Linked DNA regions of Saccharomyces cerevisiae S288C. Changing the gene in region 2 together with the main gene of any one other region gives a genetic interaction. Each region holds a gene or a part of one and is shown on either strand. Other genes may lie near its edges.

Region 1 (4,212 bases), on a different chromosome or scaffold from region 2:
TGGCAGTAATTGCACTGATTAAGCATTCGTCAGCATTAGGCGAATGTGTGCATGAATATTGCCAGTGTGCTCGATATTAGAGAGTACATTGAAGAATATTGTACCGGATTATGTACAATAACTTTGTTAATGAGATATTAATTTTCTTTTTTACTAGCCGCTATCCCATGCACGATGCTAAATTTCAAGAAGAAACTGAGATTTAAAAAATTAGTGGAAGCTGATAAAACGGACTATAATGGTGTATGGATTGAGGAATCTCGACATGTTTTTCCATCGTTTTCAACGATGACTGTAACCCGTAGATTGAACCAGGCATGCCAAAGTTAGTTAGATCAGGGTAAAAATTATAGATGAGGTTATATGTATGGTACGTAAAATTTACATGTTTGGATAGTATCATAAAATATAGAAAGGTGGAAGGGATTACCTAAAAATCAGAGTTTATAATATGCAAGGACGGCCTGTTGAGAACAAAAAACTGTAGTATCTATCGCTCACTATATATCTATTAAGTTAGGATTTTCTTGCTGATGCTGCTGTTGTTGCTGTTGTTGATTGATGGGGACAAACGCAGTGGGAACCATAACATACCCTGTTTGCTGACCCTGCATCATTTGTGGTTGCTGCTGCGCACCAGTAGAGGCATACTGAAGTTGACCGGCCACGGGATTCGTCATGTATGTGCCCATTGGTGATGTCACCACGTTTTGAGCCTGAAATGGATTACCTGTTTGACTATGAGCAAGAATCGGGGTGGTTTGTGCTTGTTGGAGGGTAAAAGGATTTGGGGAGTTTTGGAAATTTTGTTGTTGCTGTTCTCTGGCAATATTTTCTAGCGAAAATGGGTTGTTAGACCCCGTTTTTGTTGGATCTAAAGTGCCGGTCATAATTGCATTGTTCTCGGTGGTCGTGTATCCGCCGAACCCTGAGCCGGTGAAATTTGGGGTGTATTGAAGGTTAGAAGCATACATCCCAGTTTGTTGATTATTCAAATTTGGAGTAATCTGTATCTCACTTGGTTGTGGCATTGTAGACGCAGATGTCAACTGTAAAGCCTGTTGCTGTTGTTGCGGTATCAAGAAGGGGTTAGCAGTTGGTTGAGGGACTTGAGCGGTCATTTGTGGCTGGGTTGGTTCGAATGAAAAGGTGTCATTATTTAAATCTTGCTGTTGTGATCCAAATGGGTTGTAAGCATCTTGTGGGACCGTGGGGGAAATGAGCAACTGTTGGTTTTGTAATTGTTGCTCCAGCAGTCTTTTTTGTTCCCTTATCTGTTCCAGTTTCTTCTGCGCTATAGACTTATTCTTGTCATTGCTGTTGTTATTGTGACTACTGGTAGAGCTAATGGCCGTAGATGGTTTTCTATCTTGCTGCGGTTCAGAAGGTTCACCTCTTTGTCTTTTTGTTTCCTCTCTCAAATGCTCCTCAAGGGAGTTAATTAACTTTGTAGTAATATGTTTGATAACGGGGATTTTCAAACCGACAGCTTTTCCTATTTTTAGGTATCTAACAACATATTCTGTCATATCCACGAAATCCTTATAGAGATCCAGTGTTCTTTTTGCGTGCTCAATGGACAATTCGAAGAATGATTCTAAAAGTGTAATGACACCTTCATTAAGAGCATTGTACAGACCTAGTAAATCTTGTACTAACAATTGGAATGCATACAATAACAAATGGTTTTCTAAATCTGAAACAGAGTATTTATTCCTTATCAAGGCATTAATTTGAATTTCCAATGATTCAACATGATCTAGCTCTTCATCCATTGAAAGCTGGTTCTTACTGCCCAGCTTTAGCGAGGAGTAATTGTCTCGTAGGTGATCCATACCTAGCCTGCCATACTCTTCACAACGTGTTTTTAGGTATTCGTCGTATCTCTGCAAAGCCCTCATATCATTGGAAGACCACTTAGTAGTATGCGAAATCTTTCTCAATTGGAAAACATCCAAATTATGGGAATAGTGCCTTAGCGTGACATCTTTTTCGCCTTGTTGTATCATCAGATGCAACACAATCAATGCCTTATAAACAATGGTCCAGGCTGTATCAGACAACCTTATATCCAATGCGTGGGTAATCTCTTGCAATCCTCTTGCGCTCGAAGTGCCCGAGAGAATAGGGTCCACATATTTTTGCTTTGGAGGGGCCATCTTTATTTTGGTCGCCCCTTTAACCAACTTAGTATATAATGAAGACATTGTTTCACAAACACGCCTCTATATCTATTATAGGGGTAGCCGAGACAGTCGCGCTTGTATGCTTGATATTGTTACTCTCGTAGATGTTAGCAAGCGTAGCAAATTGGTACTCCTGCTACAGATTTATTTTTTCTCCTTCTAAAATTATAACTCAAGCAAGAAGCCCTAATAACAAGTTAACCAGACTAATAAGTCGACTTTTTCCTCGAATGTAGAAAAGAAACTTTTCTACGCAGCTGCAAACTTAATCTATCCCTCCACCAAAGCAAAATGAAAACAAAGCCATACTGGGAAAAATCTGAAAAAAAAAATGGTAGGAGTAAAAGAAAAGAAAAAATAAAGGTTACCCTGCAGTTTGGATAGTCGGGTAACATTTGGCCCTTTTCCTCCTTGATTGGATATTATTACCCCGATTACCCCTCATCTTGGGAGTGCCCCGCTTTTATTTCTCCCGCCAATCGGCTATTAACGGCTTTACGTCATTCCGTGGGCGGGTCAAGCGAGCCGCTCCCTGGTTTGGTCACGCAAAACCGAAAGGCTCAAACAAAACTAAGGCCATCATATATATATATGCGGCTGCGTGCGTGTATTCTCCCGGATAATATGGTGCGTTGCAATTGGAGTATTGGAGAAAATTTTCTTTTCCCTTTCATTACGGCGGAAATACTTCATATAAAAAAAAAGAATACAATCAGTCTTTAAGACTATACGCATAAGCATTCAAGACACATAGAAACACAAACCTATATTTTTAATGTCAGCATCAGCTTTTAATTTTGCCTTTAGAAGATTTTGGAATAGTGAAACAGGCCCTAAAACAGTACACTTCTGGGCCCCAACTTTGAAGTGGGGGCTGGTCTTCGCAGGGCTAAATGATATTAAGAGGCCTGTTGAGAAGGTATCAGGAGCACAAAATTTATCTTTATTAGCGACGGCACTGATTTGGACGCGTTGGTCGTTTGTCATCAAGCCCAAGAACTATCTGTTAGCTTCCGTCAATTTTTTCCTGGGTTGCACTGCAGGCTACCATCTAACAAGAATTGCTAACTTTAGGATACGGAACGGTGATTCTTTTAAACAGGTTATTCACTACATAATAAAAGGGGAGACTCCTGCAGCCGTCGCAGCAAAGCAAACTGCATCCACATCGATGAACAAAGGTGTGATCGGTACTAATCCGCCAATAACGCACTGATTACGTAAACGATAATATGTTCCTGAACTCGCATTTTTTTAATGATTTTTTATGACCTCTTATATATTCTTTCATTATATAACCTCTATATTACATCAAAAGATGGAAAAATATAAAAAAATTAAAAAAAAAAAAAAGAAATTTTTTCCAAAAGAGTATATTTATATGTATGTATACATGTAGGGAAAATAAGAAACTTTATTAATAGTAAAAAAGCATATATACTTTATTATTAACTCTTTTGTTTTTCTCGAGAAGCTTAATTTTGGGTCAATTCAACGACCTTTTTAGCAGCAGGATCTAATTCATCAAACGAATAAATCTTCACGCCTGACTTATTGATAATGTCGCGGCCTTCTTCTACTTTGGTACCTTGCAAACGTGCCACAATGGGGACCCTAACTTCTAGTTCTCTGGCGGCTTCTACCAGCCCCAGGGCAACATAGTCACATCTTACGATACCGCCGAAAATATTGACGAAAATTGCATCTACGTTCTTATTGGATAAGATCAATTCGAAACCTTGTTTGATGGTCTCAGGGGTGGCACCACCACCACAATCCAAAAAGTTCGCAGGATCGCCTCCATTTAATTTGATGACATCCATAGTAGCCATAGCCAAACCAGCACCATTGACTAAACATCCAATGTTACCCTTCAACTTAACAAAATTCAAATCATACTTCTTTGCCTTAACTTCATCAGGATCTTCTTGTGATAAGTCCCTCCAGGAATATATCTTTTCCTGTCTGAATGATGCGTTATCATCAAACCCAAATTTGGCGTCTGTACACATGATTTTGTGGGTTG
Region 2 (4,070 bases):
CCATCACCGAGTCAATTGACCTGATAAAGTTTATATCCAGGACATTTTCCATATTCCACCAGTCCAGAGCTAGTTCAGGATTTTTTCTGCTTAACTCAGCAATACATTTTTTCAAACATTCCATCAAGCCAAACTGTATCTGAGACATGGAATTTGTTAAGGAGACCTTGACTTCAATGACTTTATTGTGTGACGTCTTATTAGTGGCATTCAAACAGGAAGAGACCTCTACCCTGAACCTCGGCCATAGCAAAACGTTCTTTAGCCGTAATTCTTTCATTTTCGTCCTGAGGGGTGAAAATTCCATGACAAACGTCTCTGGTGCTTCAGAAAAGGCTTTAATAAAACCCCAAGTATTTTTAGACCTGTAAATCTCTAATATAAACGATTCATTCGAATTATGTCGAAGTGAGTCTGCATTCAATACCAGCATACCCGTAACCCTATTTGGGTGAACAATGCCGGATAAGAGATCCACAATGAGAATTCTAGAAGTAATGCTCAAGATTCCGCCAGAAATATATAGCTTTCTTCTCTTTTCAATGCTCAGCGAGTCCGCGGTAACTACGTTAAAAGGCCTTTCAAAAAGTTCATCATCGCTCTCGACAGCAGTATCGTCGTCGTCCTTCCCAGTATTAGAGAACCACGACAGCTCTTCTAAGGCCTCCTTGATTCTTACATTATCTATAGGTTTTGCATTCAACACTAGGACGAGCGCTCGCTTTAGTTGTCCGTTAATGGATGTTGGTGTAGCTAAAACATGCAATAAATTGGCCACAATATCAAGCAATCCTAGTCCTTTCCCCATTATGATTAATGCATCTTCAGTAATTAATGAATTCTCTACCACTTTTTGCTGAAACGGCAATGGTAAAGTCAATTGAATATCAACTGGCCTAATATCGTTAATATTGGGCTTAGACGTTTCTATGTCATCTGGCTCATTAGGTATAAGAGGGTATAACACTGCATCGTCATCTAAAACTTTGCTATCTTCATTTTCCACCTCATTAAGATGATTGGAGTCGTCGGGTTCATCTTCATTTTTAATTTTAGAACTTTGAGATGCTTGAGTTGTCTGCCTCGTAAGTTCCTCCTGGAGCTCATCATCAGAGTCGCCCTGATAAAATAACTGAGACATCTGGAAAGATATTTTCAACAGGATAGTGCAATATTATTTTTACACATTTAGCAAATGCTCTACCAACGTCCTGAACCCTCCAGTACACCTGTGCTCTCTCCTCTCCTATGCGCCACGCAGACAAAAGTTTACTCGTCCCGACTTTTTTTTTTCATTAGACGCGATATTGACTGTGGCTATAGCTTACTCCAGGAGATAAGCGAGTAAAGCTTTTTCTAACTTCAATGATGAAGAAAAGTCGCAAAATAAAGGCAAACAGAGAACACTTCAGGTTGTTGGTTACATTGGAAGAGGGACTTAAGCTCTCACATCATCTATTTTGTTTCAAGTTCGTACATTTTTTGAAGCGTGTTGGACGGGACAGGTTGATTACATTTTTTAAACATGTCCATCAGAGATTTATATCATGCGAGGGCTTCCCCTTTTATATCGTTAGAATTCTTCCCTCCAAAGACTGAATTAGGGACGAGAAATTTGATGGAACGTATGCATCGTATGACTGCTTTAGATCCACTGTTTATCACGGTTACTTGGGGAGCAGGTGGTACTACTGCGGAAAAGACTCTGACATTAGCTTCCTTGGCACAGCAGACACTAAATATACCAGTTTGTATGCATTTGACCTGTACAAACACAGAAAAAGCCATCATTGATGATGCGCTGGATAGATGTTATAATGCAGGAATCAGGAATATTTTGGCTCTTCGAGGTGACCCACCTATTGGGGAAGATTGGCTAGATTCTCAATCGAACGAATCACCTTTTAAATATGCGGTTGATTTAGTTCGTTATATCAAGCAAAGCTACGGAGACAAGTTCTGCGTCGGTGTTGCAGCATATCCAGAAGGTCATTGTGAAGGTGAAGCAGAAGGTCACGAGCAAGACCCATTGAAGGATTTGGTATATTTAAAAGAAAAAGTTGAAGCTGGGGCCGATTTTGTGATAACACAACTGTTTTACGACGTTGAAAAATTCTTAACTTTTGAAATGCTATTTCGGGAACGGATTTCGCAAGATTTGCCCCTTTTCCCTGGGTTGATGCCTATTAACTCCTATCTGCTTTTCCACAGAGCAGCAAAGTTATCACATGCATCTATTCCACCTGCAATACTGAGTAGGTTCCCCCCAGAAATCCAATCGGATGATAATGCCGTGAAGTCCATTGGTGTGGACATTCTTATCGAATTGATTCAGGAAATATATCAAAGAACATCTGGTAGAATTAAAGGGTTTCATTTCTATACATTAAATTTGGAAAAGGCTATTGCTCAAATTGTCTCGCAATCTCCCGTCTTATCCCATATCGTAAATGAATCTAGCGAAGAAGAGGGAGAAGATGAAACCAGTGGCGAAATAGGAAGCATAGAAAATGTGCCAATAGAAGATGCTGACGGGGATATTGTGTTGGATGATTCGAATGAAGAAACTGTAGCAAACCGGAAAAGGAGAAGGCATTCAAGTCTTGATTCGGCCAAGTTGATTTTCAATAGGGCTATCGTCACTGAAAAAGGCTTACGCTATAATAATGAGAATGGTTCCATGCCATCTAAAAAGGCTTTAATATCTATTTCTAAAGGTCACGGAACTTTGGGTCGTGATGCCACTTGGGATGAGTTCCCCAATGGTAGATTTGGTGACTCCAGGTCTCCCGCATATGGTGAAATAGACGGTTATGGGCCATCCATCAAGGTAAGCAAAAGCAAAGCGCTTGAACTATGGGGTATACCAAAGACAATTGGCGATTTAAAAGATATTTTTATAAAATATTTGGAAGGTTCAACGGATGCGATTCCCTGGTCTGACCTGGGTTTATCAGCTGAAACGGCGTTAATACAAGAAGAACTAATCCAACTAAACTATCGCGGATATTTGACTTTGGCATCGCAACCTGCCACAAATGCTACATTGAGTAGTGATAAAATATTCGGCTGGGGGCCCGCGAAAGGGAGGTTGTATCAGAAGGCATTCGTAGAAATGTTTATTCATAGACAGCAATGGGAAACAACTTTGAAACCCAAGCTAGACCATTACGGGCGTCGGAAATTCAGTTATTACGCGGGCGATTCATCTGGTTCATTTGAAACGAACCTAGACCCGCACAGCTCTAGCGTTGTAACATGGGGTGTTTTTCCCAACAGTCCGGTCAAACAGACTACAATCATTGAAGAAGAGTCATTCAAGGCATGGAGAGATGAAGCGTTTAGTATCTGGTCCGAGTGGGCCAAGTTATTTCCAAGGAACACCCCAGCCAATATTCTTCTAAGACTAGTGCATAAAGACTACTGTCTTGTCTCAATTGTTCATCACGACTTCAAAGAAACCGACGAGCTATGGGAAATGTTACTCGACCAAGCCTAATATTTCACTGAATATAAATACAAAAATGCGAAAATAATGTAATATTTAACGTATACATAACGGGCAGAACGCCCTTCTAAGAAGAAGAGGCATATGCTAATCATTGGCTTTCCTTTTCTTGGAGCCGCCATTTACAAGTTGTTTGTCACGTTGTAATTTAGATTCCAAATAATCACAAAATTTCTGATCTCTATTTTCATTCCAAACTCTATTAATGCCGCCGAGAAAAATGACTTGTGAGTCCTTCAATATGAAAACGCCCCTATTGAACACAGTTCCCGGCAGTATCACAATTTTAGAACCCAGCATGCAAGAGCTCCAAGATATTGGAGTCGAGTTGATAGCAAAAAAAACGTCGCCCGACTTACTTTGTAGTGTCAATTTAAACACTGCTTTATTCTTGGCGGCACTGCTATTATTGTTGCTATTATTTTCCTTGGCGCAGTTGTTATCCGCCACATTCCCGTCATCTTCCATGTCCACTTGAGTGATGACCTCGTACTTCTTAGCGCCATTTCCTTGCGCGCCTGATCGTAGTCTATCCACTTTCTGTTTTTTCGGATCCAGCTTG
Region 3 (3,579 bases), on a different chromosome or scaffold from region 2:
GAAAACAAAAGAAAAGATCAAATAAGTGAGTAAATGAAATGCTGTACCTTCCAATTTCTCGAACTCTTTTGGAATTTCAGGGTATGGTGGACGATATTAATGTAAATTATGATTGCTCCCCTGCCAATTGGTATAGGATAAAGATAGACATATTAGGCATCAGAGGGGAGAAGCATTGCAACCAGATAAGATAAATCAAAGATTTTTACCTACAACTACTTATACTATTATTATACTATTATTATATTATTATTATATTATTATTATCATTACTACAACTGCTACTACTACTACTACTATTACTATTATTATTATTTGATATTTTTATTACTGCTATTATTATAATTTATTATTATTATTATTATTATTAATATTATTGCTATTATTAGTAATGTGTTAGCATTATTGCCAATATTAGTATTATACTTTCTTTCTTTTTTTTTTTAATTTTTTTCTTATATTTCTATGATTCGGCAACATGAGACCAATCCTTAGATAATTCACTTAAATAGCTTCTTCAATTTGCCGAAGAAACCAGTTTTCTTCTTCTTGGGCTCTTCTGTCGAAGAAGACAAAGGAGAAGCTGTCTGTTTCTTTGGGGCTTTTACAGTTTGTTTCTTAACCTCTTTGGCAGAAGGCTTTTTTTCTTTACTGGTTTCTGACCTCTTGACCTCTTTAGAGCCTTTTTCTTGCTTCTTTTTCTTTTCTTTTTCTTCTGACACTGCTGGTGATTTTCTACCTTCAGCTGTTTGCTCGTCAGTCAAGGGTAGCTTGGGAGCTTTGTTAACGATGGGGTCTAATGTAAAGACCTCTTCATCTTTTTTTGCCTTATTTTCTACTTTTTTGGAACCGTCTAATACACCTTCAGTGGACTCACGTTTCTCCACCAACTTAGATTGAAGAGACCCCTCCACTGGTTCAACTTTCGATGACTCAGGTATAGATATTTGTGCTTCCGGAGTTGGTAATGGTTCGGGCTCATTTATTAACGGAGTAACCGCTTCCACTTGAGGAGTAAGTTCCTGCACATTATGAGCCACTTCCTTGGTCTCAACAATCGGGTCGTCAGCTTGTGGAAGAGCAGGACTCTTTTCCGTAACTGATGATTCAACAATAGGGCCAGCAACGGGTTCTGGAACCTCTTCTTTTTTGTTAAGTCTTTCATTCAATTCCCTAGCATCAACGTCTCTAATTTCGGTAAATTCCTTGATTTCACCAGGGTTTGGGACAAGAACAGGACCTGGTCCACCAATTATACCATTTGATTGAGTTGTGTCTGCACTTTGATCGATTGGCAGAATATGGAAATTGCCCGGAGCTTCTTTGGAAACATTAGTAGGCTCCGCCAATGGAGTTTCTTCCCTAGAGGTTCCAGTAACATCTTCAGTAGTAGTTCCAGTCACCCCGTCTTCTTCTTCATTATCGTCTAAACTTTCATTTGACTTCTTGTTGTTCTTAGTACTCTTTTTCTTCAATTTAGATCTTCTTTTCTTATTGTTACGCTTGTTTTTCTTTCTATTACTTGTAGAAGGAGGACCTGCTGAACGAGGCGGTTTACCACATAATAGGCCACCTGCCTCCGGGATTCTACTGGCACCGGCAACTTCCTGCGTTTCAACTAAATCGGTAATTTGTAAGAAATTGTTTTCGATTCCTTCACTAACATGCTCCTTTTTATACGAATCACTAACGCACCAAACGCCATCCACAATAAACTTAAACTGAAACGTATCATCCTTGTTGGCTAGCTTCACGGGCATAGTAATTTCGAAATTTCCCTTGGCGGTCTTCACGAGGGGTAAAGTGCCCCTCCAGTCATCAAACGTTCCTGTTAAAATAACATCTTTTGGACCAGCAGGCCAGCTAAAAGTATAGTTGAACATGAGTTCACTACTCATTTTTATTGATAGATTAGTTTTCTTAGTGATTTTTGTATCTTTTATTTTGTAAGTACAAAAAACGTATCAGAAAATGATAAAACCTTGTTCAAATCCTTGTTTGTATTGTTTACCAGGCGATGAGATCGGGTTTCAACAATTTTAGCAACGCCACTTTTCCTAACGGGTAACACACCAAGATAAATGGCGTCAGAGCGTCTTTTTTATGCACAGAAAAACCAGTAGAACACATTAATTAATATTATAACTACATAGCATTTACTTGGGTTGAAATGGTGAAACCTTACCTGGAACTGCTTATTGAAGCATAGAAATAGGTGCACAGTGGAACCCAAAAAGTTTATCGGCAACTTTACCTTCAGTGTCTTGATAATAAGGCAAACGCTAGGGTCAATTGAAGAAGAATTTCTGTTAGGTAAATTAATAGTGTCATTGGTATTAGTAGAATATTACCCGTCGAAATAGAACCAACTATCGTCTATCGACTAATATTCATACTGCTAGTATATTATTATATCCAGTGTAAGAAGATGACTTTAAGATTGAAAAATAATCTTCATAATTTAATGGAAGCTGAAACGCAAAGATTGATAATGCAATAGGATGACGAATGACGACATAAAAAACGGAAGAAGAAATACCAGTAACATTATGTAGAATAGGAATTTCCTTTATCAATAGTCGGATCATAACGGTTGCATTAAAATTTGGGATATTGGTGAATAATTTGATAATTTTTGGCATTCTGTAATTGATAAAGCTATAACATCAAATACAGAATATATAAAAGTGTTGGAATAAAAATCAACTATCATCTACTAACTAGTATTTACGTTACTAGTATATTATCATATACGGTGTTAGAAGATGACGCAAATGATGAGAAATAGTCATCTAAATTAGTGGAAGCTGAAACGCAAGGATTGATAATGTAATAGGATCAATGAATATTAACATATAAAATGATGATAATAATATTTATAGAATTGTGTAGAATTGCAGATTCCCTTTTATGGATTCCTAAATCCTCGAGGAGAACTTCTAGTACATTCTACATACCTAATATTATTGCCTTATTAAAAATGGAATCCCAACAATTATCTCAAAATTCACCCACTCTTCAAAAAGACATTCTCCTCAAGAAATCCACAAAAAGGAATCAACAGTTACGCATAATAATATTTCTTTTCCTTCCTTCTTCTTCATATTTTGCCATTCTCCATCCAGTTGCATCTTTAAGATGCTCCCGTCTCTTTTTATGCCTACATAGTTTAATTCTTTATTTAGAACACCAACAGATACATGGGCGTGTGGTCTAGTGGTATGATTCTCGCTTTGGGCGACTTCCTGCCTAAACAGGAAGACAAAGCATGCGAGAGGCCCTGGGTTCAATTCCCAGCTCGCCCCATTATAATTTTTTCACTTTTTTGTTCTTTGCAAGAACGCGCGGTACGCAGTTATGAGATGATGTAGGCAATCTCGAGAATTGAAACTTCTGCATTACCATAGAATTCAACATCTTTTTTTGGCACATTAAAGGTGTGAATGCTACACTAATCAATATAACACGATTATGTTAATTGGTGTAAGTGGTACGAAATTTTGCGGATGCGAAGATGTTATTAACATGTTGGTTGATCATTTTCATTTTGAATTACTCAATCACCTAGATAATCCAGAG

The links. Genes that interact genetically often act in the same process or in processes that back each other up.
Region 1: mutations in MET12 (region 2) and YAP1802 together harm fitness more than expected from each alone (negative genetic interaction), as found in Saccharomyces cerevisiae (2 studies listed by BioGRID).
Region 3: mutations in MET12 (region 2) and CRP1 together harm fitness less than expected from each alone (positive genetic interaction), as found in Saccharomyces cerevisiae (2 studies listed by BioGRID).

The regions. Positions count from the first base shown.
Region 1 is NC_001139.9:974,375-978,586, forward strand, and holds YAP1802 (Yap1802p), read right to left. Parts: upstream 2,208-4,212; coding exon 501-2,207; downstream 1-500. Other genes in the region: YGR240C-A (uncharacterized protein), read right to left, coding at 203-403; MPC3 (mitochondrial pyruvate carrier), read left to right, coding at 2,962-3,402; LSC2 (succinate--CoA ligase (GDP-forming) subunit beta), read right to left, coding at 3,662-4,212. UniProt on the Saccharomyces cerevisiae protein: Involved in endocytosis and clathrin cage assembly.
Region 2 is NC_001148.4:503,768-507,837, reverse strand, and holds MET12 (methylenetetrahydrofolate reductase (NAD(P)H) MET12), read left to right. Parts: upstream 1-1,525; coding exon 1,526-3,499; downstream 3,500-4,070. Other genes in the region: ssDNA endodeoxyribonuclease RAD1, read right to left, coding at 1-1,141; RMI1 (Rmi1p), read right to left, coding at 3,596-4,070.
Region 3 is NC_001140.6:388,619-392,197, reverse strand, and holds CRP1 (Crp1p), read right to left. Parts: upstream 1,899-3,579; coding exon 501-1,898; downstream 1-500. Other genes in the region: DCD1 (deoxycytidine monophosphate deaminase), read left to right, coding at 3,472-3,579.